4 linked regions of the Elephas maximus indicus genome follow. The protein of the gene in region 4 interacts with the protein of the main gene of each other region in a pairwise test. Links are inferred from orthologs where the notes say so. Each region holds a gene or a part of one and is shown on either strand. Other genes may lie near its edges. The genes, in order: TMSB10, LONRF1, ZMAT1 and ALAS1.

Evidence for each region.
Region 1: the proteins of ALAS1 (region 4) and TMSB10 interact in binary tests that used the Homo sapiens proteins (3 or more experiments, as listed by UniProt). The two-hybrid records come from large-scale screens. The link is inferred for Elephas maximus indicus from reciprocal best matches to the Homo sapiens genes ALAS1 and TMSB10.
Region 2: the proteins of ALAS1 (region 4) and LONRF1 interact in binary tests that used the Homo sapiens proteins (3 or more experiments, as listed by UniProt). The two-hybrid records come from large-scale screens. The link is inferred for Elephas maximus indicus from reciprocal best matches to the Homo sapiens genes ALAS1 and LONRF1.
Region 3: the proteins of ALAS1 (region 4) and ZMAT1 interact in a two-hybrid assay, tested with the Homo sapiens proteins (2 studies listed by BioGRID). The two-hybrid records come from large-scale screens. The link is inferred for Elephas maximus indicus from reciprocal best matches to the Homo sapiens genes ALAS1 and ZMAT1.

What each region holds. Positions count from the first base shown.
Region 1 is NC_064835.1:49,756,127-49,761,885, forward strand, and holds TMSB10 (thymosin beta-10), read right to left. Parts: upstream 1,565-5,759; 5' UTR 1,466-1,564; intron 1,181-1,465; 5' UTR 1,166-1,180; coding exon 1,066-1,165; intron 791-1,065; coding exon 756-790; 3' UTR 523-755; downstream 1-522. UniProt on the Homo sapiens protein: Plays an important role in the organization of the cytoskeleton. Binds to and sequesters actin monomers (G actin) and therefore inhibits actin polymerization.
Region 2 is NC_064840.1:72,302,166-72,309,508, reverse strand, and holds the start of LONRF1 (LON peptidase N-terminal domain and RING finger protein 1), read left to right. Parts: upstream 1-4,337; 5' UTR 4,338-4,411; coding exon 4,412-5,057; intron 5,058-7,343.
Region 3 is NC_064846.1:56,256,366-56,263,758, reverse strand, and holds the start of ZMAT1 (zinc finger matrin-type protein 1), read right to left. Parts: upstream 3,013-7,393; 5' UTR 2,962-3,012; coding exon 2,409-2,961; intron 2,378-2,408; exon of another isoform or gene 2,286-2,377; intron 1-2,285.
Region 4 is NC_064838.1:56,393,071-56,400,244, forward strand, and holds the start of ALAS1 (5-aminolevulinate synthase, non-specific, mitochondrial), read left to right. Parts: upstream 1-4,166; 5' UTR 4,167-4,319; intron 4,320-5,326; exon of another isoform or gene 5,327-5,337; 5' UTR 5,338-5,358; coding exon 5,359-5,557; intron 5,558-7,174.

The sequences.
Region 1 (5,759 bases), on a different chromosome or scaffold from region 4:
CCTTAGTTTTTGTTCTAATGTCTTCTCTTTTAAACTCAAAAAGGAGGCCTCTTCGAGACTTTGTGACTTCACTCAACTTTCCACATCCCTGATTTGATCATTTTCCTGTTTCTTCCCAGTCTTGAAATCACCCGTCCTCTCCTGGTATGCGTCCTCTCCTGGTATGCGTCACAGCTATGAGGAAGCCAGAGGGAAACAGCGGGACTATAAAAGCTTGTCAAAAACAGATCCTGCTCTTTTGGAAAATCATTTTCCAAAGCAGCTTCCAGGAATGACCCAGTGGGGTTAAATTTTACCTGGATTTTTACCAAAACTGCATTATAAGCAACAGCTGATAACCCAAGAAATCTTCTGGGGAAAGAGACAAAGCCAAAATTACAAATGGTCTCTCAGAGCCAGCCATTTGTTCGACCTCCCCCACCCCCGCCCCGCCCCGCAGCAGGAACTCAGACTCCAGCGCGGAGCTTTGCTACAGAGGGACTGTCCCTGCACGCTTAACTAAGAGACTCAGACCACGCCAGCCATGCCACGAGGTGTGTTTTATTTTCATTAATCATTACAAATAATTTTCTATAATATCCAGGGCAAACCGGAGAATTTGGTAGTCCCTTCAGAGACCCACAGGCCGGTGGCATCGGAGCGGAGTGCCCGGGTTCACAGTGCAGTTTGTCGCTCGTGCCATCTTGCAGGTGGCTTTTCCTCCACATCACAACTTGGGTCTCAAAGATGACGGGGTTGGAGAATCCTCCAGGCTCTTAGGAAATTTCACTCCGCTTCTCCTGCTCAATGGCTGTGGAGAGCGGGAAGCGAGCATTGGGGGAGGAAGGCACCTCGAAAATCCCCAACGGCGGCGCCTACAAACCTGGTGTGGGCGAGGCACCCACGAGGCCTGGGGATTAAGAAAGAGGCTTGGGGCTGGGGAGACAAGGCACTTTGTGTAATATAAAGGGGGACTGGGGCTGCCCAGGCCGGGGACATGGGCGGGGGGACCCGGGTTGGCACGGGAAGGGCGGGTTGGGGGGCTGGGCTGGGGGCCCGAGGGCCTGGAGGCGGGGGCGCACTCACTCTCTTTGGTCGGCAGGGTGTTCTTCTCCTGCGTCTCCGTTTTCTTCAGCTTGGCCTTATCGAAGCTGGCGATTTCTCCCATGTCCGGCTTGTCTGCCATTTTCTTAAAACGATCCTAGTGGGCAAACCAAAGCGGTCGGCGTGGCGCGCCGAGGCTGGGGGCCCGTGTCCCCCTCGGCGCTCTTGGCCGACGCCTCTCGACGTGGCACTCCTGCCGGGGCGTTCCCGGCAGCCCCAAGGCCGAGGGTCTGGGCGCGTCCCGCAACCCCCTCGGTAGCCCTCGGCCGGCCCGGGCGTCCCGTCCGGGAAGCCGCCTGTGGCGGCGGCAGCGCGCCTGCCGGGTGCCCGGCTCCGGCTCCGGCCCCACCGCGGTCGGCCCCCGCCCCAGCACGGCGCTCACCGAGGCGTCCCGCTCCCAGCCGAGGTTCCGGGTGCTCCCACTCGCGCCGCTGCAGCAAGAGACAAAAGAGCGGCGCCCGCCCCTCGCCTTAAATACTCCGCGCTCCGCCCCGCCCCTCGGCCGCCGCAGCGGGGGCGGGGCCGGCACCGGAGGGGCGGGGCCGCTGGGCAGCTCACCTCCCCGCCGCGCCTTTCCCCCGACTGCCCGCGGGCTGAGGCGCTGCTTCTCCGGCGCCCTCAGCTCGCCCTACCCCCAGGTTGGGCGCCTCTGGCGCCAAGGCCCCGGGCTTCATTCTCTCCCCCCCGACCCCGGCCCGCCCCGCCCCGCTGGGAATCTGCTGCTTGCCCCGCAGAATGGGCGTGGAGGCCGGCGGGGGAGGGGTGTGGGTGGGGAGTGTGTGAGTGTGTGTGTGTGTGTGTGTGGTTGTGGGTGTGGATGTGCGAGCGTGCACGCGTGCTCTGCGGCCATCCTTGCTGGCAGAAGACACCCCACCTCTGTGTGGTCCCCAAGTCTCTTGTCTGTGCCCCTCCAGACCCCTCCCCCGCCCACCCTTTTCCTTTCTTCCGGGAGGCTGAGTCCTTGCTGGGTCTCGCACCAAAACGGTCCGAACCGAGGGCTCTAGAGCTGAAAGGGAGGGCGGGGAGAGGTGGACCCATAGGTTGCCAGTGCCCTTTGCTCTGGTCGGGGGCCAGTTTCCCTCTTGTCCCCCTTCCCTGAGCGGGGCGGGCCCTGCAGGAACCATGGCGGCGGGTGCTTCTTAAATGCTTGTCGCCTGTGTTGTCTGAAGGGTGGTGGTGGGAGTGGGGAGTCCCGAGAGGGCTGAGGCCTTTCCCAGGCTTCCTAGGAGCACTGGGTCGGAGGGTGCGGTTTTCCTCCTTGAGTTAACCTTGAAGATGCTTAGATCTGTATTCCCGGAAACGTTCTTGTTTTTCCTATTAACCCAGTAGAGCAGTGGCAGAGTGCAGTTATTCAACTCTTTCAGCTCGTGCAACACCTTTAGGTAATAAATTCCATACATTTACAACCCACGGGGTGAAGCTGGTCATTGTTTTGTTTGACCTGAACTTTCCTTTTGCAAGCCTTAGGGAGTATTACTAAGTTCTGTTAAGGAGGGGTTTGGTGGGAACATCCTGAATTCTGTCCAGTCCCTTCCTGATTTTATCTACTTTTCTCACATGCACTTAGTGTATTTGGGACAGTGGGGGAGAAGCTTAGGCTTATAAGTTTGGCAAAGGAAACTCCTTCTGTGACCTTGGGCAAGTCTTTTCCTATGCCTCAGTTTCTTCATCTGTAAAACTGGGTTGATATAAAGCTTAAATAAGGAGCCCTGGTAGCACAATGGTTTATAAGCCCATGGCTGTTAGTCAAAAGGTCAGAAGTTCTAACCCACCAGTTATTCCAAGTGAGAAAAGATGTGATGATTTGCTCCCGTAAAGATTACAGCTTAGGAAACCTTATGGGGCAGTTCTACTCTGTCATATAGGATTGCTATGAGTTGGAATCAACTCACAGGTACACAGCAGCAACAACATAAAGCTTAAATGTGATAAAGAACAGGCATTAAGTGGTCGTTTAATGTGGCCTCACACTCTCACTTTGTGTATCAGTCAACTGTTACTACAAAAATGCTATGTAAGAAGCTACTCCAAAACTCAGTGGCTTAAAATAATCATTTATTCTTGCTCAGGCATCCGTATGTCAGCTGGTGCTGGGCTGGGCTAGGCTGAGCTTGGCTCCAAGCTTCGAATTGCATCCAGGTCTGTTCCCTGGATCTCTCATCCTCTTTAGACCAGGGCACTAGCTGGAGCTTGTTCGTCTCAGGGTGATGGCAAAACAGCAAGAGAGCTGTGCCACAAGAGATTGTAGACATGTTGAAGTATGTATAAATGCACTTCAGGCCAGCCTCATGTCCTCTAATATTCCATTGGCCAAAGCAAGTTATATGTCCAAATCCAACATCAATGGGGTGAGGAGATACCTTCCACTCATGGTGGAGGGGGAGAAACACAATATTCCCTGAACAATAGTCCAACTTCATAGTCAGGGAAGGCGAACTACTGTGACAAATAGCCCCAAAGCAGCTTAATACAATTAAAATTCATTTACCATTCATGCAACTAAGCTGGTGTTCCTGGTTCAGCAGGTCTCCTACATGTAGTGATTTAGGCACCCGGGTCCCTTCTTTCTTGTGACTGCCCCTCTCTAAGTCCTGGAAGTCCACTCCATTTAGTCAGTGGATGGGGAAAAGAAGGAGGGGATGGAGGGCTGTGCTGGCAGTTTTATGGTCCAGGTTTGCAAGTAATCTCCATCACTTCTGTCTTCATCTCTTTGGCCAGGACTCAGTCACATGGCCTCATCTAATGGCAACAGAGGGTAGGAAATGCAGTCTAGTTGAGTGCCCAGGAAAAAAGAAAGCAAGGTTGGATGTACTTGGAGCAGTCTCCACCATACACTGTTGAAGGATCTGCCAAAAATTGAGCTTAAAAATATCAGGACACCAAGACAGTGTCTCTTTGGAGAGCTCCACTGGCACTCGATTCCTTTTCAGATGCAATGCCAAGCATTACTTAGGCATCGCCTTCTTGGCTCCCCATCTTTAACCTAAACATGGAAATATTCAATTTTCCTAAGTGTCTGAGTTTCAGTATTATTCACTCAGTGAGTGGTCTTCTAGCTGAGACCTTGCCCTGAATATTAAAATTACTTTCCATGGGGCAGAAATTTCATAGACCCATGGTGAACTCCAATTCCAACTTCCCTTTATTTGGGAAACAAAGAAATCGGTTCTTCTAAATATATAGGTATGGAGACACAAGTTCAAAGATAGCAAGGACGCAGGATTCTCAAACAAAGGAGCTTTAAGCAGGCTGGCAGACATTCCCGTTTTTCCTCAGTGCAGCTCTGTGGCCCATCTCTCAGAAAGCAGGCAACCTCTTTGGCATTTGTTACCTAACAGTGGTCAGATTTATTAGTATCAGCCAGTCCCATGGGTAGTTGTCGTCAGGTGCTGTTGAGTCAGCTCCGACTCACAGCAATCCTGTGGGTCAGTAGTGGTTTTAAAACATCTGTATGTTCTTTATACCCCTCACACCGTTTGAGAAGATGTATCCTGTTGGTGCACAGTGATGGGCAAATCACATTGATTAAGGGGAGGGTTGCACAGCCAATTACGCAAATGCTGTCAATACATTGTACACCTGCAAAAAGTTGAATTGGCAAAAGTTGTATGATAGACATATTTACAGCGATGACACACACACACGTAAATGAGTAGCTGCTGAGGCTGCTTATGTACAAGCAAACACCTCATGGGATTTTGTTCCTTATTTGGAGGTTTAGGATCATGGTTTCTTGGGACATCCCAGTTAATTGACCTAATAGTGTGTTTAGTGCTTCTGTTTTATCTCCTAGTCCTTTGCATAGTGCCTGGGGTCTTAAAAGCTTGAAAGAGGCCATTTGAGGCACAACAACCGGTCTCTAATCACCTGGAACAACACAGGAAGAAGGAGAGCCAGAAATAGGAGGAGGAAATGGAATGTGTGGCTAATTGCCTCCATGAACAACTGCCTCCTTCGCCATGAGACCAGGAGAACTGGATGGTGCCCAGCTACCACTACTGAACATATTGGTCAAAGGTTCTATAGAAAAATCTTAACCAAAATGCGGAAAATGCAGAATGGAATTTCAAATTCTCATGAACTCCAGACTTTCTGGAGCCATGGAGTGTGGGTGAACCCCTGAAACTATTGCTCTGAGGTAATCTTTAAACCTTAAACCAAAAATATCCCGAAGTCTTCTTAAAACCAAACAATAGTTTAGCTTAAGTAGTAAAAAATGTCTGCATCGACTATTACGCTCTTTTAAGATCTATATAGGATCAAACTGACAACAGCAACTTGAAAGATTAGATAGGACTCTTACGGGGCAGAAAAGGAGTTGGTGGTGCACTGGTTAAGTGCTTAATTGCTAACCGAAAGGTTGGTGCCTTGTACCCACCAGCAGCTCTGAGGGAGAAAGATATGTCAGTCTGCTTCCATAAAGATTAACCCAAACCAAATCCATTGCCGTCAAGTTGACTCTGACTCAGAGTGACCCTACAGGACAGAGTAGAACTGCCCCATAGAATTTCCAAAGTTGTAATCTTTTGGAAATCCTGGTGGTGTAGTGGTTAAGTACTATGGCTGCTAACCAAAAGTCCAGCAGTTCAAATCCACCAGGCTCTTTGGAAACTTTGTGGGGCAGTTCTGCTCTGTCCTATAGGATTGCTATGAGTTGGAATTGACTCAAGGGTAAT
Region 2 (7,343 bases), on a different chromosome or scaffold from region 4:
TTCATCCACTGATTTTTCAGAAGTATATCACCAGTCTTTTTTCTCCAGAATATAGCATATGCATTTAGTATACCTAGATTCTTCAGAGTGTTAAAGAAGAATTCAGAATAGTATCCTTGGTAAGGGTATTGTCCCTTGAGCATTTTCACAGTATCCCTTGTGGGATAACAGTGTAGTTTAACAGTGAGCTGTACTTGGTGAGACAGAAGTCATTGTAAGAAATTAAGTTTAGGCTTCTACTTACCATCACCTCTATTTAACCTATTCAGGTTATCCTCATTCGGGCTCTTTGCTGAGAACACCATTATAGCAATCATATACTGTGTATTTTTAGCATCTTATATAAACTTTCTCACAAATGCCCAGATTATATAACCAGCCACTCCTCCCCCCAGAGGCTTACCTTCAGCCTCTCACAGATCTACAGTAGGGACAAGGAGGGGGGTGTGTGTGTGTGTGTACGTGCACGTGTGAGTGATCCCTATCCAACCACTGAAAAAATTTACGTTCCAGAGTTTGATTTCCCCTCTGCTGAGCAGGGCTGAGAGCTCGCTAAAAACAAGTGTGCTCCTTGGTTCCCTCGTCTATTCTCAGCCTTCATCTTCTGCTGTTACATTTTCATCAGGTGTCACATTGCTGTGTTCCTGAGTCTGGGAGGCTCTGCCTCTTCTCACTGGATTCCGACAAATTCCTGGGGCTCAGCTCCAGAGGTGCAAGGGACCTTAGAGATCCTTCCAGTTCCCTCAGATGGCAAATGAAGCCCAGCGAAGCCAGGTGAGCTCCTCCCAGGTACAGAGGCATCAATACGGTCAGCACCACGTCCGGATGCCCTCTTCGGTATGCCTTCTAGTAAACCAGCAGCTTCTCGGATCTTAGCTGTCTCCTGTATAAAATGAGGGCTGTGAAGAGGTGGTCTCAATGCCCCTCCCATCTGTATATATAAAAACACTATTGGTATGTACTGATGAAACTTTAGAGTTCACTGTTTTCAATATATCGTGTAGAATGTTATCCACTGAAATGAACCAGAGGAAGTGGAGGTAATTTTGCTTGGCTCTTTTTCTTCATAGCTTAAACTCAGTCTCCCCTTTTTAAAGATAAGATGTGAAGAAACAAATGATAAATTCACCCATGTAAAAAAAAAGAGGTTCCAATGCACATGTTCGGCTAACTTATGTACAAGGAAAGCCCTGTTACATTACTGCTAAATAGAGTTTACTTTAACTACATCAGAACGGTCTTCTTGTGGCGTGGTGGTGGGGGGTGGGGGACAGGGATAAGCAGGAAGGATGGTGATAAGCATTTTCCAAATTAGGAAACAGTTACGTGTTTCTTGGTACTCTCTTACATAACTGATCTCATTTTAGAAGACAACACTAAAAAAACTGAGATGAAATACAAATCTCCTGATTTCACTGCTTTGTGAGCAAAGAATATCAGGAGAGAATAATGCTGGAAGGAAAAAGAGGCAGAGCTTCGCCCCGTCACTCTCCTCCTGGCCAAGCGCTGCTTCACAGAATTTCCTCCTCTCCCCAGTGAGTCAGAAACCAAAGTCTAAATTTTAGAAAATGAATGAAGAAAGACACCAACTTCTCTCTCTTTTGAATTTAAACAGAAACCACATTCAACTGCATATCTCTTTTGGGTGACACAGAATAACTGGAGAATGACCCGTTCTATCGCCGAGACATCGCCGAGACTGCCTTGCCCCACACTGACTTGCGGCTTCAGAGGGAAGGTGTGCGAGGCACACAGACCACAGCAGCAGCACAGCCTCTTACATAAATAAGTTACATAAATGCGAAGGAGTTATGTAAATGTATAAACCAGAAAACATCAATTGTAACCATTCACAAATGCCAAGGAGAACATGGCTAGATTCCTCCTACAGCCCCCCCCCCTTTTTCTCACATTCTCATAATTGTGCCATTTTATTTCACAACAGAATTAGATTTGGAGATTTGTCATACTTATGAGGGAAAGAAACTCCAAAGGACAAATGCTACTTCACAGTCTTTTCTGAATCACACATTTGACTTTGGGGGGAAATTCCCTAATACAACCGGAGTAATCTGTATTTGGTAATTTATGCATATGTATCAATGTCTTATACTCCTTGTGTGACCATAAAAACATCTATTTATTAAATATTTACCACTGTACATTGTTGCAAGTTGCTCTTGATGACAAGAATGCACCCTAAAAGTTAATGTTCACAAGCATAGGGATATTTTTTCTGGGACTTACGGTTTCAAGTCTCAAATGAGTGTGTGGGCATCTGACTAACGTCATTGTTTTGCTAATTGAGAGAAGGTAGCAATGTAAAGAGTTGGGATTAGATTTGAGGTTATGATCATGAATTAATCACACTAACCCCTTCCCCCAAATAATTAGGAGTTGCCATTTTTTTTTTTATAAACCCTGGTGGATACCCCGGTGGCATAGTGGTTAAGTGCTACGGCTGCTAAACAAAAGTTTAGCAGTTCGAATCCACCAGGCGTTCCTTGGAAACTCTATGGGGCAGTTCTACTCTGAATCGACTCAATGGCAGTGGGTTTGGTTTTAGTGGGTTATAAACCCTGGTGGCTTAGTGGTTAAGAACTACAGCTGCTAACCAAAAGGTCGGTAGTTCGAATACACCAGGTACTCCTTGGAAACTTTATGAATGTAGTTCTGCTCTCTGCCCTATACGGTCACTGTGAGTCAGAATTGACTGGACAGCTATGAGTTTTATTTTTTATAGGGTTGCTATGAGTTGGAATCAACTCGATGGCAATGGGTTTTTTTTGGGGGGGGGGCTTAGCCATAATTTGCTTTGGGTGCCACGTGAATGATAACTGAACTTGCTTTCCTCTGCACTGGGTTGAAGCAGGAGCCTCAACTTTTTCTCAGTCAACTCTTCTTCCTCATACCTTCTGGGGAAACAGAGCTACACCTTCTCTGAAATTACATGATTTGCTCAGTGTGTAGTAAAAACAAACGGGATTGAAAACGTGGTTTTGAGTCCTAACTGCTGTTGTGTGTAGAGGGGTATTAATTAAATATTAGCCAATTTCAGACAAAGCATGCTCAGGTTAACATTCCAGTAAGCAACTCCCTTTACTTTGGAAATCTCGTGTAAATTATTTCTAGAATCTAACGTAGGAACATAATAGTGGAATGAGAATTAGATGACCTTAAAACCTCTGTAGAATATTAGCCGTGTGATTTGGGGCAAATAACTTCCCCTCTCTGGGCCACCATTTTCCATTTGAAAAAGGACTAAAAGTTCTCCAGTCACTTCCGGCATTGACAATCTAGTATATAATCAAATCTATAAACGTTTTCAACTGAGAGCTTTAAACTTGCCACTGTCAAGTTTAATTAAAGTCAATATAACCCATTATATATAAATCAGGTCATTTTCTTCTGTTGTCAAAATGCAGACCCTGCTTGGGTCATAGTGATATAGTAACCCTGCCATATGAAAAGCATTTTTTCCTCATTTCTTTTTAAAACCACCCCCTATAGACCTTTTTTTTTTTTTATAGACCTTAGCCGGCACTGGGGGCAGTGACTGAGGTGTGGCGAATACAGCTGGCATACCAGAAACCTGTGGGCTTCCCCCCTCGAGCTAGGGGCTGGGTTTTAAACAGGAAAAGCAGTAACTTGGCATCAGGGCTAACTGCCTTGCTCTCTGGAGGGCAGTCGCCTTAGGAACGTGGCTGGTTTTGTTCGTTTGTTTCTAAAGTTTTGAGTCACCAAGTCATGCGGCTGACTTGACGCATCCCTAAGCCCTCTGCCTGTACATACCATCTGTAACTTGGGGCGTAAAGCAGAGCTGCACCTGACGACGGCCCCACCACGCGTGCAGGCTCCCACCAGCCAGGAATTGGGGGCGGATCCTCGGGTCCCCACCCAGGTGGGCGGGCGTGTCAGGGGAAGGTCGGTCCTTCAAGCCTCAGACCCGCGAGGCTGGCTGCCCGGCCGGAGGGCCGGCCGAGCAGGGGCTGGAGGAGAGACGAGGGCAGAGGGCCTAGCAGGTGGGGAAGTCCGGCGGTTAGGGAAGGGGAGGGAGGTCCTTTGTTCGCCAACAACTAGCCGGGCCCTTCTTTCCTCAGAAGCCAATTGGATCGGCGCTGGGGGATCATCTGACCTCGGTCCTCGCCAGCAGGGGCTCGCGAGGGGCGGGGGCCGCGCGGTCGGTTGTCGCCGGCCGAGGGGGAGCCGAGCCCGGCCCCGCCCCGCCCCGCCCCGCCCGGCCCGGCCCGGCCCGGCCCGGCCCGCCTCCGGGGCTTCCCGGGCGCGCGCTGCCCGCCGTGTCCGCGCGCCACGCCCCCCTGCTCGCGGGCCGCGTGCGGAGCCGCGCGCCCCGGAGGCTCCGGGAGCGGGGCGGCGGCGGCGGCGGCGGAGCAGCAGCCGTCCGCGGGCCATGTCGTCTCCGGCGGTGGCGAGGAGCGGCCCGGGGGGGAGCCGCGAGGTGGCCCCCCGGCGCTGGGCAGTGGGCGGCGGCAGCGGCGAGCGGCTGGAGCGCGGGGAGCTGCTGCTGCGCCGCGGCGAGCTGCTGGCGCTGGGCGGCCACCTGAAGGGAGCGCTGGAGGCGTACTCTGCGGCGCTGCGCCGCGGGGCCCCCGGCAGGCCCGAGCGCCTCGGCACCTTGGTGGACTGCCTGGTGCTCAACTACCGGCTCCGGCACGGGCTGCGCTGGAGCGCGGCCCCGGCTGCGGGCGCCCAGGCCGGCGCCGCCGGGCTCCTGAGCTGCCTGGGCTGCCGGGGCTTCCTGAGCGAGCCGGTGACCGTGCCCTGTGGCCACAGCTACTGCCGCCGCTGCCTGCGGAGAGAGCTCCGCGCCCACTGCCGCCTCTGCCGGGCCCGCCTGCCGGCCGCCGGTGCCCAGGGGCCGCCGCCCCCGGCCGCCGCCTCGGGCTTCAGGACCAGCGTCGTCCTCAACCACCTGGCCGAGAAGTGGTTCCCGGGCCTGCGGGAGAGGGCCCGGGCGGCCGGCCGGCTCGGGGAGCTGCTGCAGCAGGGGCGCTACCGGGAGGCCCTGGCCGCCGCCTGCGAGGCGCTGCGAGCAGGTGACCGCGGGGAGCGGCGCGGCCCGGCCCGCCCTCCCTCCTCTCCCGTCTCCGGCCCCTCGGGTCCCGGGGTCCGCGCGGGTGTGGGAGGGGCGGCGCCCCGGAGTGCTTCGGTCACAATGGGGATCGCCCTCGGAGCCGACTGTGACGCGGCGCGGGGAGGGGCGCACGGGCGCGGAGTTCCCTCGCCGGCTCCCTCGGCCAGCGGCCACCGCCGGGCGTCCGGAGCGGAGCGGGGGCCCGGGGCCGAGGCGGCCGAGCGCGCGGTGGGCAGGGAGGTGGGCCAGCCCGAGCGGCCGCCCGCTTCCTGCCGCGCTTTCCGGGAATTGGCCGCCGCCGCGCGGGCCCTGGGGAGCCCGCCGCGGGGAACGACAGCCGGGGCGGGAGAGGCCCCCACCCGCGGCCAGGCGTGCAACGTTTACCTTCTTCTCCCACAAAAGTCACCCGGGCAATGGGAGCCGCGGGAGGGCGGAATTGCATAAGCTTGGGGGGGGGGGGAGTTGTGTAACGGGTGACGTCCGGTGGGCGTGGCGGGAGCTCCTCTGGCTCCGGCACCCCAAGGCTCCCCTGCCGGGCCCCGGCTTCGGGCGATGCAGGCGCTGGCCGGGGCGGCCACCCCTTGCCTGAAAACGCCTTCAAAATTGGTCGCTCTTCTTGAAGGTTTCCACCTTCCTGTTTCAATTCATCTATTTCATATACGCATATGTTTGTTTTCGAATGCACCTAGCTCGTCGTTGTAAAGACAGAGGCAGCCTTTGATGGAGTACTTTGCCATGCTTTTGTGTGCCTTTCCACTCTTGATCAAACTGTGGGGAGAGCTTTGTAGCTCTGTTGTCTGTTTCTTCATCCCCTGGAAGCTGCTTCTGTCTTCTAACTTAGGCTAACACTTTGCTTAAGGTACCCTTAGTCTGCTGGAAGGAAGCAATGGCCAACGCCCCTCCGTAAAATGAGGTGTTCTTCTAAGTCGATGTTTCTCAGTTGGAGGCAGCTGGAGGGGGGGTTCTTCAGGACAGTTGGCCACCAGGATAGACTTTTGGTTGTCATAACTTGGGCTGGCACTGGTGGTACTAACATCTAGTTGATTAAAGTCAGTATGCTGCTAAGCATCACAGGACAACCACCCACCACAAAGAATTATCACGCCCCACATGTCAGTAGTGGCGCTGTTGATAAGCCTTGTGTTATATAAGCGTATTTCAAGAGTTTAGTGTCTATATATTGGAGTAAGGAGCCCTGGTGGTGCAGGTGCTTAAGTGCTGGACTGCTGACCCGAAAGGTGGGAGGTGAGCGATTGGAACCCACCAGCCACTGTTGGGGAGAAGATGTGGCAGTCTGCTTCCATAAAGATTATAGCCTTGGAAACCCTATTGTCCTATAGGGTCCTGATAAGTCAGGGTCACTGTGAGTCAGAGCTGACTCAACGGCAATGGGTTTGGTTTTGTTTGGATTTGTATATTGGAAAGGAATAATACTTAGGTGCGTATTTCCAAGAAAATAAGAAGACATTTAAAATACAATGTTAGGAATTAGGTAAATTTATGAACGATGTACCTGAAAGTCTATTCTGGTTCGTCTTTTCCCTAAGTGCTTAGTCATTTTGAACTAGTGACAATAACTTGAATAATTTAACACTTTCAGGGTTCAAAGCGCAAAGTCAACATATTTCCATTTTCGTTCAGTATCGTTTTGAAGAGTAGGCACTTAGAAAATAGAACGATAGACTCAGAACAGATGACATCTATCTGGAGTACAGAATTCGTGTATGCAGGGCTCTGCCTCTTGGAGGGGCTAGAGGGAGAGTGGGGAGTGATAGACTCAGAACAAATGACATCTATCTGGAGTACAGAATTCGTGTGCGCAGGGCTCTGCCTCTCGGTGGGGCTAGAGGGAGAGTGGGGAAGCTGGTCTCAGCTGTGCAGCCCATGTAGTATCTCGCCATGGGCCTCATTTTAAAAAGGAAGAAGCAGGAGCCTGGCAGTGAAATGGCTGGTCCACACCCACGCAGCTAGCAGGTCTCCTAACTGTTCTGCTCAGTGTTGGTCCTCTTCTCCTAAATGTTGGTCCAGGATCCATAGCTGCCTTTGTAGCTCATCCAATAAAAATGTTTAATATAAATTTCCAAAAAAGTTTTTTTTTTTGGTCACCAGTATAATTTTTTGAGCATAAATTAAGAGGATGCAACTTACCAACAGCACTATTCAGTATTAACTACTACTGAACTAATGATTATAACCTTCTCTTAAGTTAATAAGTGTACATTCTTGCATCCCTTGAATTCTTAGGGCG
Region 3 (7,393 bases), on a different chromosome or scaffold from region 4:
TCCTAAATAAGACTTAAAAAAAAAACAAATTTAAACTAAAAATATTCCCTGACTTCTTCTTAAAAACAATTCAGCTTAACTAGTAAAGAATATCTGCCTTGAGCATTGTGCACTTTTAAGATCTATCTACATGGGATCAAACTGATAACAGCAACTAGAAAGATTAGATAGGAAACTTAGCAGGCAGTGAGCTTGTATTAATTGTAGAGGAACAACTCTGAAGAGGAGGGTGAGAATGGTTGCAGAACTCGAAGAATGTAATCAACACCACTGAACTGTACATTCCAAAACCGTTAAACTGGCCTATGTTCTGCTGCGTATGTTCTCAACAATGAAAATAAATTTTATTTTTAAAATTAACAAGTAATGTTTTTTCTCTTCCTTCTTATCCACTATTGTAACCGGCAACTATTTATGGCCTTTATAAATATCTAAACAAAACTATTTTGAGGTCTAATAGTGTTTCTGACAGTGCAATATAGCAAATATTTACCATTTGTTAAATGAGTAGGTAAGAGAGTTTAATTTGGGCTGAACTGTTAGTGAAGGATATTTACTGAAAAACAGAATGATGAGATAATTTTTTAGGTAACAATTATATTTTGTTTTTCACCTGAACTGTCTCAACACTAACTCGACACAGATTTCATCACTCACGGAATGTCCGGTGATTACTACTGGTTACAGTTTCTTACGGTTTACGAATTCCTGTTCTAGTGCACAGCAATGGAAATGCCAGAGAAAGAATCCCAATGCAGAACTGCAAAATCATGGTTTCGACTTTCAGATCTGAAATCAATCTTGGGAGTTTGGCTAGTCCAATTTCCCTATTTCAGACATGTCAAAACCCAAATCCAAGAAACCTGGGACTTGATCAGGGATCCAGTTTATCTAGCGGATAAGCTAGCAACAGAACCTATGTTCACTGCACCAGGATTCTCCTTATTTTACCACCTAGCACAGAATAGTTTGGTGGTAAAATAAGGAGAGTTAGGGTATTTCTGTTACTTTTTTAAGTGGTATCTCTTAAACTTTTAATATGTATATTCAAAAGCACTGCAAACAAACCAGTTGCAGAGCCAGGCAAAAAGATGTCCCCCTCCCCTTGAGATACTGGTCCTAAACCTTACTGTGAACAGGCTATGAGAGTCAAATTGGATTATGATCTCAACACTTACAAAACTGCTCTGGCCTACGTGCAGGTAACAGACAGGAACTTTGGTGTAAAAGCAAGAAATCAGGAGATTTCATGTTTTCATCCGAGAACCAGTGGTACAAACCCAGGCTGACTGAAGATATTGACGAGTTTTTCAAAGGTTGCCTTCAGTAAGAGCATCAGCAAATAAAACATCACATGACAGTGTATTTCTAGCTTCCATTTTTACTAAGTGGCATTTATGTAATGTGCCTGTTACAAATATTAGAAGGGTTTTTTTTTTTCTTTTTTAACTGCTTTGCCATTCTTCCAAAGCGAAAGGTGTGAAAGGCTATAGGATAGCACCCGGGATGGATCTTTTAAGAATGTGAAGAGAGAATTATTTTTACGGGGTTATTTTAGTGGGGAGTCTAAGAAAAAAATAAATCATTGAACCCTATTTTGGCGCGCACGATCTTTCACTTTGGCGGCAAGGAGCAACATAAAGTTAACACGGCAAATACTGGAAATTAAGAAATTAACTACGGCAAAATGCTTTACTGAGATCCTCTGCACTGGAATCAGTCTTCACCATCTAAGAAGCATTTCGAAAACTGTTTTAAAACACATTCCAATGGCATATCTTACAGTTTCCTAGTAGTAGGCTGTTTACAAGTATATAGTACTTTGTGTGAACTAAGTATCACTTATATTGATAGCCAAGAAACAGCTTATCTTCTGAACAGTATGTGTTGGTAGGTACAACGGCACTTATTAAAATCCAAACCACCTTAAAGATGGACCTGTAAACCTTGCTTTACAAAGTTACCAACCAAGGAAAACTCTCCAAAGTGATTCCTGAATTCTTAACTTCTACCGCACTCTCTTCCTCTCCTGGTTCTCCAGCAGAACCCCCTCCATCAGACCCTACGATCCTAAAATACAACAGATGCTACTTTAAAGCTCAAGTGGACACTAACCTTTCCAAATGCCTAACCACATTTCTCCTTAAATATCCTGCTCCAAGTTTCGACACCGCAGAATGTTGAATTTCTTTGGCCTTTTCTCTTTTACCTGTCCCCTCAACCTTTGAGTTTCTCCCTCAGTCCCCTTCCCTTTTCCCGACCCTCTAGTTCCACAGCACTTCTACCTTGCCTGCGCTCTTTTCCAAATCACATCTCGGCGTCTTATAGCTGACGAAGGCGTCCTGGCTGGGAGAGAAATTGTTTTGTTTTGTTTTGTTTGTCCCTTCAAACTCCTGCCTCGTGAGTACCTGCAGTTTCTTTTCCTGGGGGCCCCCATCCTTTGCGGGAGGGACAGGTAGGGAAGCCCTCGTTTGCTTCAGTCCATCTTGCACTTTCGGGGTTTATACGGCGGGGCGGGGCGGGGCGAGCTTGGCCTGTGCTGCGCCACAGCAGGTGGGGGGTGGGGCGGTGGCGAACCGCGCCCAGCTCCAACTGCGAAGGGCTGAAGGGAGGCAGCCGCGGAGATGGGGCTGCTCCCGCACCCCGGGGCGGGAACTCACCTTCTCTGAGGCAAGGGCGGGGGTCTACTTTAAAACTACTGCCCCCCCACCCCGCCGCCGCCATAGTGGAACCTCCAAAGCCGCCGCCGTCTCCACGGCCACCCGCGGGCGGCCACGCAAGGGTGGGGGTGGCGGAGGAGGCAGGCACTATCGCTGCAGCCGCCGCCGCCGCCGCCGCCGCCGCCGCCGCCGCGGCCGCCGCCGCGCAGGCGGTGTAGGAGGAGGAGGAGGCGGCAGAGATGGTAGCTTCCTGAGGGGCAGACTCCGCCGCCGGCGGGATGACTGTGCTCGGCGCCGCCATCGCAGCAAAGCGCAGACAATTGCACTTGCGCCTCGCTCCCCTTAAGCTCCTTTTGCCCCTCCCCTGAGCCCCGCCTCCTCGGCCCCTCTTTTCCTCGCTTCAGCTCCAGCCTTGTTCTCGCTCCTTCTGCCCACCAATAGGAAAGCTTTAGCCCCACAGCCCGACTCCTCCCTCCCCCCCCCTTGGCGTCATTCCACCTCCCTCTGGAGGAGAAGGGTTGGTGGCCAAGGACAAAGGCCAAAAAACGCGGGATGCGAAAGCACGTGGGACCTCACACAATGAGGCGTCTTTCCTTGGAGGAGGTAATCTAAAACCAGTTTAAGAAGAAAAAAAAGAAGTCTGGGAACCTGTCGCTTCCATCTTCAAAATATCCTTGAAATATGGCTCTCCCTGTCTTTTAGCCGTTAGTAAGTAGAATAGAAATAAACAGAAGGCATGGCGAATAACACATCGTCATCAATGATCCATAAACAACTGCAGTCTACCCATGTTCAAGTATAATACAGTAAACGTCTGTGAATCCCGTATCCAACCAAAGAACTAGAATATTACTGATAATTTAAATCTCGCCATCTTGTCCCTCAAGCTTCTCAAAGAATCCAATATCCTGATTCGTGTTTATTATTCCCTTGCTGTTTTTACATATATTCTTATCTCATATGGATATGCCTAAAGAATGTTGTTTACTTTTGATCGTTTTCAAATTTCACAAAAATTCATATCCTTTCTAGGTAGCACTCTGAGACTCGTTATTTTACTAAGCATTTTGTTTCTAAGATTCATCCATGTTGTCACATGTAGCTATACTTCATACATTGTAAATGCTATACAATATCCCATCCATTTCCCTCTTGATGGACATGTCTCCTGGTTCACTTGTGCAAAATTTCTCTTGGGCATTCTCTCCTTTCCAGTCTCACTTCCACTGTCTTATTCCAGGTCTTCATCATTTCTTGTCAGAAATATGGCAACTGTCTGCCTTTCTCTGGTCTCAGTCATTCGAATCTACTCCCACATTGCTGCCATTCATCACTTACTGGATAAAGTCAAAGGGCACAGTTTTGCACGTTTCTCTTTCCCCAACCATCCTGATCTCATCTGCTTCCACTGTTGCTACCTCTCCACTCTGCTTTCATTTTAATTTAGTAATATTAAACCTTTTTGCAGATTCCTGTAAATACATGCTGTTTCATGACTCCATGTAATGGTATATGTCGTTCCCTCTGCCTAAAATTCCCTTTTCCCTGCACTAGGCATCAGTGTAATTAACACACTTTGAAACCCAGATGAGACATCATTTCCTCCAGGTAATCTTTTCTGTCCATGTTTAGTGTTAATCCCACCCTCTCCTGTGCTATACCTGTATATTGAGCATATTTATCTTGTAATGAATTGTACTTTGTGCCTCTCTTTTAATAGCTTGGGGTAATTTTGAGACAAAGGACAGTATTTCTTATTTTTGATTCCTCTTACTCCAGCACAATAAAGCCCTAGGACAGAGGTCCCAATCTAGTGATCGCTAGACCACATCCAGCCCACATATATGTTGTGTTTTACCTACATGATTGTTTATTTACTTACGTGCCAACATTTGAAAGGAGGGTTTTATGCAAAAAAAAAAATTCTTAAAAACATTTCAAAATTTGGCTGTTTGGGGCTTGCATTCTTGGCTGGCAACGATTGGCTAGAGCTGAATAAGAAATTCAGAGACTTGGAATACTGGGTTCTTAAGAACATATTGTTCTTGTGGTTCACTAGTTTACCTAAAGTTACTTGACTTGGTGGGTGGTTTCTCTAGCCCTCCGTTTTGTCCTATAAATTAGTGTAACTTTTACTCATCAAAGAAATTACTGGATGGGCCAGGCACAAGGTATATTCCAATGAAATAGCTACTAGGACAAAGTAAATGTCAAAAGGAGGTGTAATATTATTCCTTGTGATATGAGGGGGGAGTATCCCTCAACAGCATTGTTTCTCAAAATATGAATCATATTTCATTTGCATAACAACTATTCAATCAAAATCTCTGGGGGAGTGTGTATCACTCAGGATACAGTCAGCACAACAGAAATTGCTCTGTATTTTGAACAGAAAATATTTAATATTGATAATTAGGGACTAAAAAACTGGAAGAGTTAGAGGAGAAAAGCTCAGGGAACTTTTCCAGATATTATCAGCTGGCACTTTGAAGCCTTTCCATCCCCTTCTATGTTCTCCCCGTGTTGCAGAGGTTGGAAGCCATGAATTACATTTGTCAATTTCCCAGACTTCTTGGCCAGCAAAATTCTGAATGTGGTTTAGATATGCATTTGTATACCTAAATCATATGTATACCACCAACAATATGCATTCATATGATTTTTTTTAAGTATAATGGAGGTAGAAGCCATTTCTTATGTGGACTTTGGCAGCTGTAAAACATAAATTTTTGTGGTGGCCTTAGTATTCTTCTGCAGCTCTTGCATCCAAAGGCTTTGGAGGATCTGTGAGAATAGCAGGGGTTTTCTGCAGTTCCTTGACCTCTGTGTGGCAATAGCAGTTGCGCATCTCTTTGGACTAGAGCAATCAAGAAACATTTGTTGAATTATGGAATTGCTTCTTTCCTAGGCTCTGTGGAAAACTTCTTATCTGCTATTCAACTAAAAAGAGTAGAAAGGGTAGTGGGTGAGATAAAGGAAGTGGTCAGTTAGATTTCTCCCCATTCCTCAACTCCATTTGATGACATGCCACAACAGGAAAACGCCACTAAGTCTGTCATACATGATGGCAATGAGCACACATTTTCCTATCTTGCTCTCTATGACAGTAACACTATTAAGTGAACGCCAGAGCAATTTCTTTCACAGGAGAGGGTGGAATGTGGCAGGGAGTAATAGTTGATGAAAGCCTGCTTGGGCCAGACATTTCTCATAATTTCCCAATCTTCTCACAATAGTGATGTTATATTTGGATCATTTAAAGAACGCAAAACACAGTCTTATGGGTATAACAAACTTTTCCATAGTTACTAATCTAGTGAGTGAAAGGGTCTGTTTACATCATGGCACCACAGGGAGGGGGCTGTACTGGTTGAAATGAATTTTAGCTACCAATGCCCCAAACCATAGAAAGAAAACTGGGAGGCAACTGGGTCTAAAGTGGAGGTAAGAGATGCTAAAAAGAAATAAAGGAGCATATCTTTGCACATCTGAGAAATCAGCAAAAAACAAAACCATATCAGTGGTAATTTTATTATTTTTACAGTGAAACATAATGGTTTATTCAGAATAATATGGGGAAGTCATTATCACCAAACAATATATTTAAAGGCATGTGCAAATGAAAGAAATAATTAGAACCTAATTTAGTGGCAAATAACTAATATGATTGACATAGAAATTAATCTGACTAGCTAAACAGTGATGTTCATTTTTAAAAATAATTTTTATTGTGCTTTAAGTGAAAGTTTACAAATCAAGTCAGTCTCACACAAAAACCCATATACACCTTGCTACACACTCCCAGTTACTCTCCCCCTAATGAGACAGCCCACTCTCTCCCTCCACTCTCTTTTTGTGTCCATTTCGCCAGCTTCTAACCCCCTCCACCCTCTCATCTCCCCTCCAGGCAGGAGATGCCAATATAGTCTTAAGTGTCCACCTGATCCAAGAAGCTCCTCACCAGCATCCCTCTCCAACCCACCCTCCAGTCCAATCCATGTCTGAAGAGTTGGCCTCGGGAATGGTTCCTGTCTTGGGCCAACAGAAGGTTTGTGGACCATGACCGCCAGGGTCCTTCTAGTCTCAGTCAGACCATTAAGTCTGCTCTTTTTACGAGAACTTGGGGTCTGCATCCCACTGATCTCCTGCTCCCTCAGGGGTTCTCTGTTGTGTTCCCTGTCAGGGCAGTCATCGGTTGTAGCTGGGCACCATCTAGTTCTTCTGGTCTCAGGATGATGTAGGTCTCTGGTTCACATGGCCCTTTCTGTCTGTTGGGCTCATAATCACCTTGTGTCCTTGGTGTTCTTCATTCTCCTTTGATCCAGGTGGGTTGAGACCCATTGATGCATCTTAGATGGCTGCTTGCTAGCGTTTAAGACCCCAGACGCCACTCTTCAAAGTGGGATGCAGAATGTTTTCTTAATAGATTTTATTATGCCAATTGACTTAGATGTCCCCTGAAACCATAGTCCCCAGACCCCTGCCCCTGCTACGCTGGCCTTCAAAGCATTCAGTTTATTCAGGACGCTTCTTTGCTTTGGGTTTAGTCCAGTTGTGCTGATCTCTCCTGTATTGTGTGCTCTTTTCCTTCACCTAAAGTAGTTCCTATCTACTATCTAATTAGTGATTGCCCCTCTCCCACCGTCCCTCCCTCCCCCTCTCGTAACCACAAAAGAATGTTTTCTTCTCGGTTTAAACTATTTCTCCAGTTTGTATAATAGTGGTCTTATACA
Region 4 (7,174 bases):
AGCCACTATTGTTGTCATTACCTGTCGGTTGTATTACCATCCTCCCTGACTTACTCCTCCTTGCCCCTGCCTACCCAGCACTCCTCCTCCTCTGAGCCTCCATCACTCCCTCCATATTTAGGCAGAAGGGTTGCTGGGTAGGTCTTCAAATCCCTTCAGAGCCAGAGAGAAACGAAGTCTCCAGGCAAAGGTTGTTAATCACATTGAAAATGTTGGGATTTATGGTAGCAGTTGGCTGGGTTTTTGGCCTTCTGCCCCACCCCTCCTTGTCCCTTCTCCCCTTGCTTTCTCTGCTCCAGCCTCCCTGGCCCCCTCTGTCTCCTCCCCGACACTGGGCTCCTCAGCCTTGCCTGGTTTGTCCCGGACAACAGCTTCTTGTACCATGTCCCAGCCCCAAGGTGGTCCCCTTCCGCCATTCTCTTTCCCGGCGCCCTTTCCAACACTGGTCACAGTCTGTAATGGCTCCTGTCCTGATGTCTGTCTCCCCAGCAGCCTGAGAGGCCAGGGGCAAGGCTCCTTCTCACTGTGCCTCCGGCACCCAGCCAGAGAATGGGCTCAGCCAGCTCCTGTCTCCTGCCTTGACCCTCTTACCTCAAGAGGCCCTGCTCTGACCTGATAGCATGCAAGGTCTGGAGGGGACGGGACAAGCATTTGGGACCCCACCTCTGGGCCAGTTCCTCCTAGAGAGCCCCTCACAGCCAGCCTGACCCTTTCCCTACCCAACTCCCAGTCCCTCCCAAGGACTGCCCCCTCCAGGGGCTCTGAGGGCAGAAGAGCCCAATGTGGGGATTAGAAAGCAGGATAACTGTGCCCCACAGCAGCCCACACCTCACTTGCTATGCGACCTTGAGCAAGTTTTCTTCCTTTCTGGGTCTCAGTCTCCCTGGCTCTAAAATGGGTTAGGGCAGGAGACATACACTCAGATGCCTACAGGGCCAGGCAGGTGTCATGGCTTGGCGGTCACTTGCCCTCAGAGTTTGGACCTACTAAAGAGGGGGCCTGTGGAGAACTGGAGAAAGCATGTCCTGCTCTGTCAACATTGTTAAATGTTGACAACTAATTTGCATTTTTAAAAAGTACTCTGTGGGCCAAACAGAACATGTCTGGGCCTCATGTTGTGGGTGTTAGGGGTCCTCCTGGGGTTCCTGGGGAGGGAGGACAGTGTTTGTTCTCTGGGCATTTCCTGCTTTCTGGGGGGCATCTGTTCTCTGTACCCTAGACCTGCCTCCTTGATGTTTTCCTCCACTCCAGCCCCTTTCTCCCGCAACCAACCAGAGCCTAGCCCTTGCTCTAGGAGCTAGCTTCACAAACCCAGGCCCAGGCCTGCCCTGCCCTCTCAGGCTGTCCCAGGCCAGCTAGAGCCTGAGGGGGTTCCAAAGGCCGGGCCAGGACAAGGCAGATGTGGGGGGCCTCAGAACCCTCCAGCCCTGCCCAACCTCTACACTCCATATAACCTAACGACCCCTTGGCCTGCCACCTCAAACCCTGAAGCTTATGACTCCAACCCTCCAGGGCACAGCTGAGCTGAGGTGTTTCTAGAACCTCTAGCCACTCTGCAGGGCTAAGCACTTGTCTCCTGGCACCAACCCAGTGCTATGTACACAGGCACTGACACCTGAGGAGAACAGCGAGCCCAACCAAGGTCATGCCGAGCATGAGCTGCACGGGTTGCAGGTTTTGTCTCTCTTCAAGGCTTTCTCATTCCTACCCTGGGTCTCCTTGATGGGAAGGCTGGCCGGATTTCTTGTCTGGCTAACAGATGGGGAAACTGAGACCCAGACGATAACAGTAAGCTTGCCCAAGGTGAATGGGTGAATACTGGGGCTGGCGTTGACATTTTTCTTCTGCCGTGACTGCTGGGCTGATGCTGTGTGCAGCAGCCCTTGCTGGTGATGACGCAGACTGGGGGCCTGACCTTGCCCAAATTTCAACCGCTTGGGCTCCTCTGCCCAGGGCCAGGGCGATAAGATAGGTTTGTAGGCTGCTCTGAGGCTGGGGACAGGGAATGAGGGAGAGAGAAAGGGAGGAAGGAGAGAGGGAAGTGAGAAAGGGAGGGGAAAAAAGGGAAGGGAAAGAAAAGGAAGTGATTAGGGAGAAAGGAGGAAGAAGGCTGAACTCAGGAGAGGGATCATCACTCAGGCAGGTGGAGTAGCTTCTACTTCACAGGTATAAAAGCTGAGGCTTAGGGTACAGAGCAATTTGCCCAGATCCCAGGGTCAGAAAGTGGCAGAACCAGGATTAGAACTCATGGCTTTAGCCCTTGTCCTTTTAGGTCTCAAACTGGAAACCACTCAGGCAGTATTTCCCAAAATGTGGCCCGAAGACACCCCACCCCTGCATCACCAGGAGGGCGGCTTGGTTAAAATGCAGATTCATGGGACAGAATCAAAGGGGCAAGACCAGTATCTGTGTTTTAAATAGCATCCCGGTGGTGGGTCTTAAGCTCTGATGCCGGGAAGCCCCACAGCTTGTTTGTAACCTTTCTAATCCAACTTTCCAGCCCCATGTTCCAGCTGCCTTCCTCCCCACAGCCCAGCTATTTGGGCTGACTCACACTGCCCCCCACTCACTCTGACAGGCCTGGGCCTTCCCCACTAGAGACTTCACCTACCAGCCTCCCAGTCTCAAGTAGACCCACCCTTCCAGCCAGCACCTGCCTCTCCTCTGGAAGCCTTCCTGGTGATCTCCCTTCCTTCAGAGCCTGCTGGAGTAATACCCGCCTCCTCCATCTGGAATTGTTTAGAAATTCTATTTCACTTTCCGTGTGAGTATGCCTTGTTTCCCAACCATTCTCTCTATTAAACAGGAAACTCCCAAAGGGCTGGAGCCTTGTTGCTTTAAAAATAAGACTCTGAAACCCATGACTTCACCTAACCCTGTGGCCAACCATTAAATAACAGGGGTGGGAGAGCTTTATAAATGAGGAAACTAAGGCTACCACCAAGTGTAATTCAGAGACAGGTATGGAACCCATGTCCAGTTCCTAAGTCCAGTTCTTTCTGCTTCCACTTTGCCTTTGATCACCCAAACAGCCCTGTGAGACCAGCACAATGGGGATTAGATTCTACTGCACAGATGAGGAAAGTGAGGCCCAGAGATGGGCAAAGCGCTCAGCACCATCCTTGCCTATTCCTACTTCTAGCTACACTTGGGTTTGAGTTTAGGTGCTGATTTTCCTCTTTCTGTCTGCTGGGCCCTGCCCAGGCCCTTCAGCAGAATGAGGCAGAGTTGGGCCTTTGACTCCCAGGCCAGAACCCTCACCCTGGGTCCCTGACCTGGTCCCATTGCCACTCTGGACCCAGGTGCCTCCTCTGCAGATGAAGGCTCACTTCTGGCACAATCCAACTCTAAACTCTGGGCAGGGGACTTTGGACAGACCCAGTGGAAAATAAACATAATAGTTAACATGTGTTAAACCCTAACTATGTGTCAGGCCCTGTTTGTCTTCCCCCTTCTCCCTAGCCCAGAGGTGCTCAGTTAGTTGTGGAGTGGATGGGTTCCATCTGGCCCTGTTCAGTCTTCTCTATGCATCAAGGTTGAGTCTCTTCATCTCTGACCAGAAAGTGCCAAAGCTGGTTCTCCCTACCCTTCTGCCCCCCTCCCTCCCACCACCCTCACCAGCCCCCTGGGCATCCTGGCCCCCAGGACCACGACATCCTTCGGCGCCCCAGCCCCACCTCTCTGGGAAGTCCTCTGTCACATCCCCACAAGGACGGATTCTACTTAAGACCCTGACCCCGACCCCTTGTATTGCCTCCTTCTACCCTGCCCAAGGCACCCATTTTCACAGTTCCATGGAAAGGACAACAACCAACAACAATAACCCCAGTTGACCATAGTGCCACTTCCTCTCCGACCCCTGACCGTTTATGCCCCACAATGGGGGTGTCGGATTCTGAGGGACAGAGCAGTTAGTTGGGGGGCGGTATAGCGTCGCTGTGAGTCGGAACCCACTCGGCCGCAACAGGTTTTTGTTTAGGGCGTAGAGCCTGAGGTCCAGGAAGGAGACCTGGCCCGCCCACCGCCTGGGCGCTGCCTGGCGGCGGGCGAGCCCGGAAAGCCCCCGCCCCAACCGCGCCCATCGAGCTCTCGCAGGCAAGTCTCCCCGCCCGGGCCTCCAGGCTCCGGGAGCGCGACGCGGCGCGCCTGCGCAGAGGGAATCCGCGTTCATGGCGCATGCGCAGCGGTCCCTTTCACTGTATATCAGGGCGACGGCGCTCGCGGCCTGAGGTTTCTCGCGGACAAGGGTAAAGGTTTGGCTCGCTTTCTCGGCTCGGGTGCCAGCCGTCGCCGTCGTCTCCGTAGAGCCCCCCGCGCAGGTGAGGACCCGCGCTCTGGGTGCGGGGCCAGGAGGGGAAGCCCGCGCGTGTCCTGCCAGCCCGGGCCCTGCTCCCGGACGCCATCCCCCACTGTCCGAGCCACTCGCCGCTTCGGGGTCAACTTTCATCCCGAGACTTTTTGCCATTTTGGTCGCCCCAGCTTCCCCCATTCGGTGCCCTCCTGACATTCGCCTTTTAACTGGCCGCTTGAGAATCCCTTCTGATCCCCTTCCCGTTATTCCCAAGCCGTCAGCTCCCGGGTAACCTCTGACCCCCATTCCCCGAAGACCGCCCCCTTCCACCAGATCCAACGCCCTGGATTTTACAACCCCTGAAAAAAAAAAAAAAAGCCCTCCCCGGTTAGCCCCAAGGCGCTTCTCCGCGGATTCCTGCCCTTGTTTATGTCCCCTCTTTTCTCAGTTATGCCCCATTCACCGGGCTGTGGCGGAATGAGCTCATGGAAGTCCTTCCCTCACAGACTTAGGGCCTGCCTGGAAGCCTCCCTAAGATTTCGAGGTGTGGGGAACAGGAGAGGATAAAGGCTCCTAAGGTCCAGCCTCCCCCACGTCCAAGCTGTCAGGGAGCAGAGACAGCTTTGCTTGTTTGAATGGATGACCGTGGTCCTTACCAGCTTCTCTTCTCCCCCTGTGTGTCCACCAAAGTGTCTTTGCTGTGCATCTCCCTCCAGGAGCTTCTGACCTCCCAAACCTGTTCCTGGCTCATTCTCATCATCCCACACCCTATGTTATTAATTGTCAGTATTTGGTGAAGCTGCCTTGCAGGTGTTTTTGTATAGAGCTGGAGAATGAAGGAGGAGTTGGTGACCTGGATAGAGAGTGGTCACCAGCCCTTGGTTGAGTCTCACATTGGTGCCGTCCTTAGTTTTGAGCAAGACTTGTTAGTATCCCAGGGTACCCTTGCTATAAACCGCGGGTGACACCTAGTCCCCGGTGACCTTCGCAGTGGTAGTTGCCTGATTATTAAGAAGTGTTGATGTCACTCGTCAGTCTTTCTACAGGAACCAGTGCACCTCCCGGACATGGAGACTGTTGTTCGCCGCTGCCCATTTTTATCCCGAGTGTCCCAGACCTTTCTGCAGAAGGCAGGCAAATCTCTGTTGTTTTATGCCCAAAACTGCCCCAAGATGATGGAAGCTGGGGCCAAGCCAGCCCCCCGGGCCCTGTCTACTTCAGCAGTTCACTGCCAGCAGGTCAAAGAAACCCCTCCAGCCAATGAAAGTAAGTATCATTGGCAGTAAAATGGGAGGGGGTAGTCTGCACTCATTACTAGACCGGGAGCACTTCCAGTCCACGGTGGCACTGAGGTTCACACTAACAGAGGGGTTACTCTGTGCCAGGTTCAGCTCCTTACACCCGTCACTTCATGGCTAGTTCTCCTAACCCCATAGGAGAGGCACTTGTAGTTTTCCAAACTTTCAAGATAGGACAGTGGCCAGCTTTCTACCTAATAGGTCTCTGGATTGCATGTCAGTGTGTGTTGCAGTTTTAGTGTATCAGCAGTGCCTTATTCATGTAAATATTAAATTGTAATATTTTATTCCAACCTTCATTAAATACTTGGCCTTTGGCTTTTTTTTTTTTTTAAACACGTGTATCTATTTCATATATACTTTTTCATTTTGTTTTGTTTTTAATAAAGAGACCACAGTTGAGTTTAGTTTGGATCTGGCTCTACCAGGAGAGAATGCAGCTTTTTAGATTCCACTTAATCCTAGAAAATACCTTACGGACTTCTCTCAGGTTTGTCCTCTGGGTGTGGACTTGTGAAAAAGGAATTTTTTTTTTTCCTCTAAGTAGAAAGGTGATACCGTGTTTGTAGGAGTTGTTTTCCTCTTTACCATTGTTCAGGAGCTCTGTTGTTATGTCTTTTTACTGAAAGACCGAAATCCTCTTTTATCATTTTGCTCCTAACAGTAGAGGAATAGTTGAGTAAAATGTGGCTTGTCCACTTGGTGGACTACTATGCAGCCATCACAAGTGATGTTCATAAACTCTATTTACTAGCTTAGGCAGATCGTTATAATGAAAAAAGCAGAATAGACAAGTATATAGAGTATAAATTAAAAAGTGTTTTTAAAACATGTACATAGAAAAAAGTTAATATGCTAAAATGTTTGCAGTGGTTGTTTTGAGTGATGGGACTGTGTTTTGGTTTCATTTTCTGAACTCTCTGACGAATATGTATTTTATAATGGGATAGGGAGTTGTCTTAGTGTGCGTAGTGAACTTCAAAGTAATTTTTTTGGTTTTCCTTTATAGAAGATTTTAATGAAAACCATACCCAATTTGTAAGAAGGGCTAGCCAGTGATTCACAGGAGTATTCCAGAATTGATGAAGAGATAAGGAAGGTGAACTAATTCGCTGAAGGGGAGAGGGTAGTCATTGTAACTAGAAGCTTAATTACCAGCCAATTGCGTTAAGTTAATGTACTTCTTTGATGCATTTAGATAAGAAAGTAGATGAGGTGGGTGAATGTAATTATCCCTTTTTTCCTTAAAAAACTAACTTGTATTATTTTTTCCTTAGTGTACTAATATTTGAACTCCGCTAGACAACAGTCTAACAATCTCAGTTTTAATTTAATTTCTTTTGTTTGGAAGAAAACCAGTAGTTTGTATGGTAAATGATAACAAACTTCTTTGTCAAGAACTTCTTTAGAAAATATTAGCAGAGCAAACATTGTATAAACACTTCTAGTTACCTTAAAAAGTGTGTCCTGTCATGAAATACGCTGAATGTACTTAGAATAGAATTTACTGGAAATAATCCAATTCAGGAACTCTAGGTCGTCTAAAACTAGAAAATACAACTTTTTAGTATTTATAAGTGAGAAG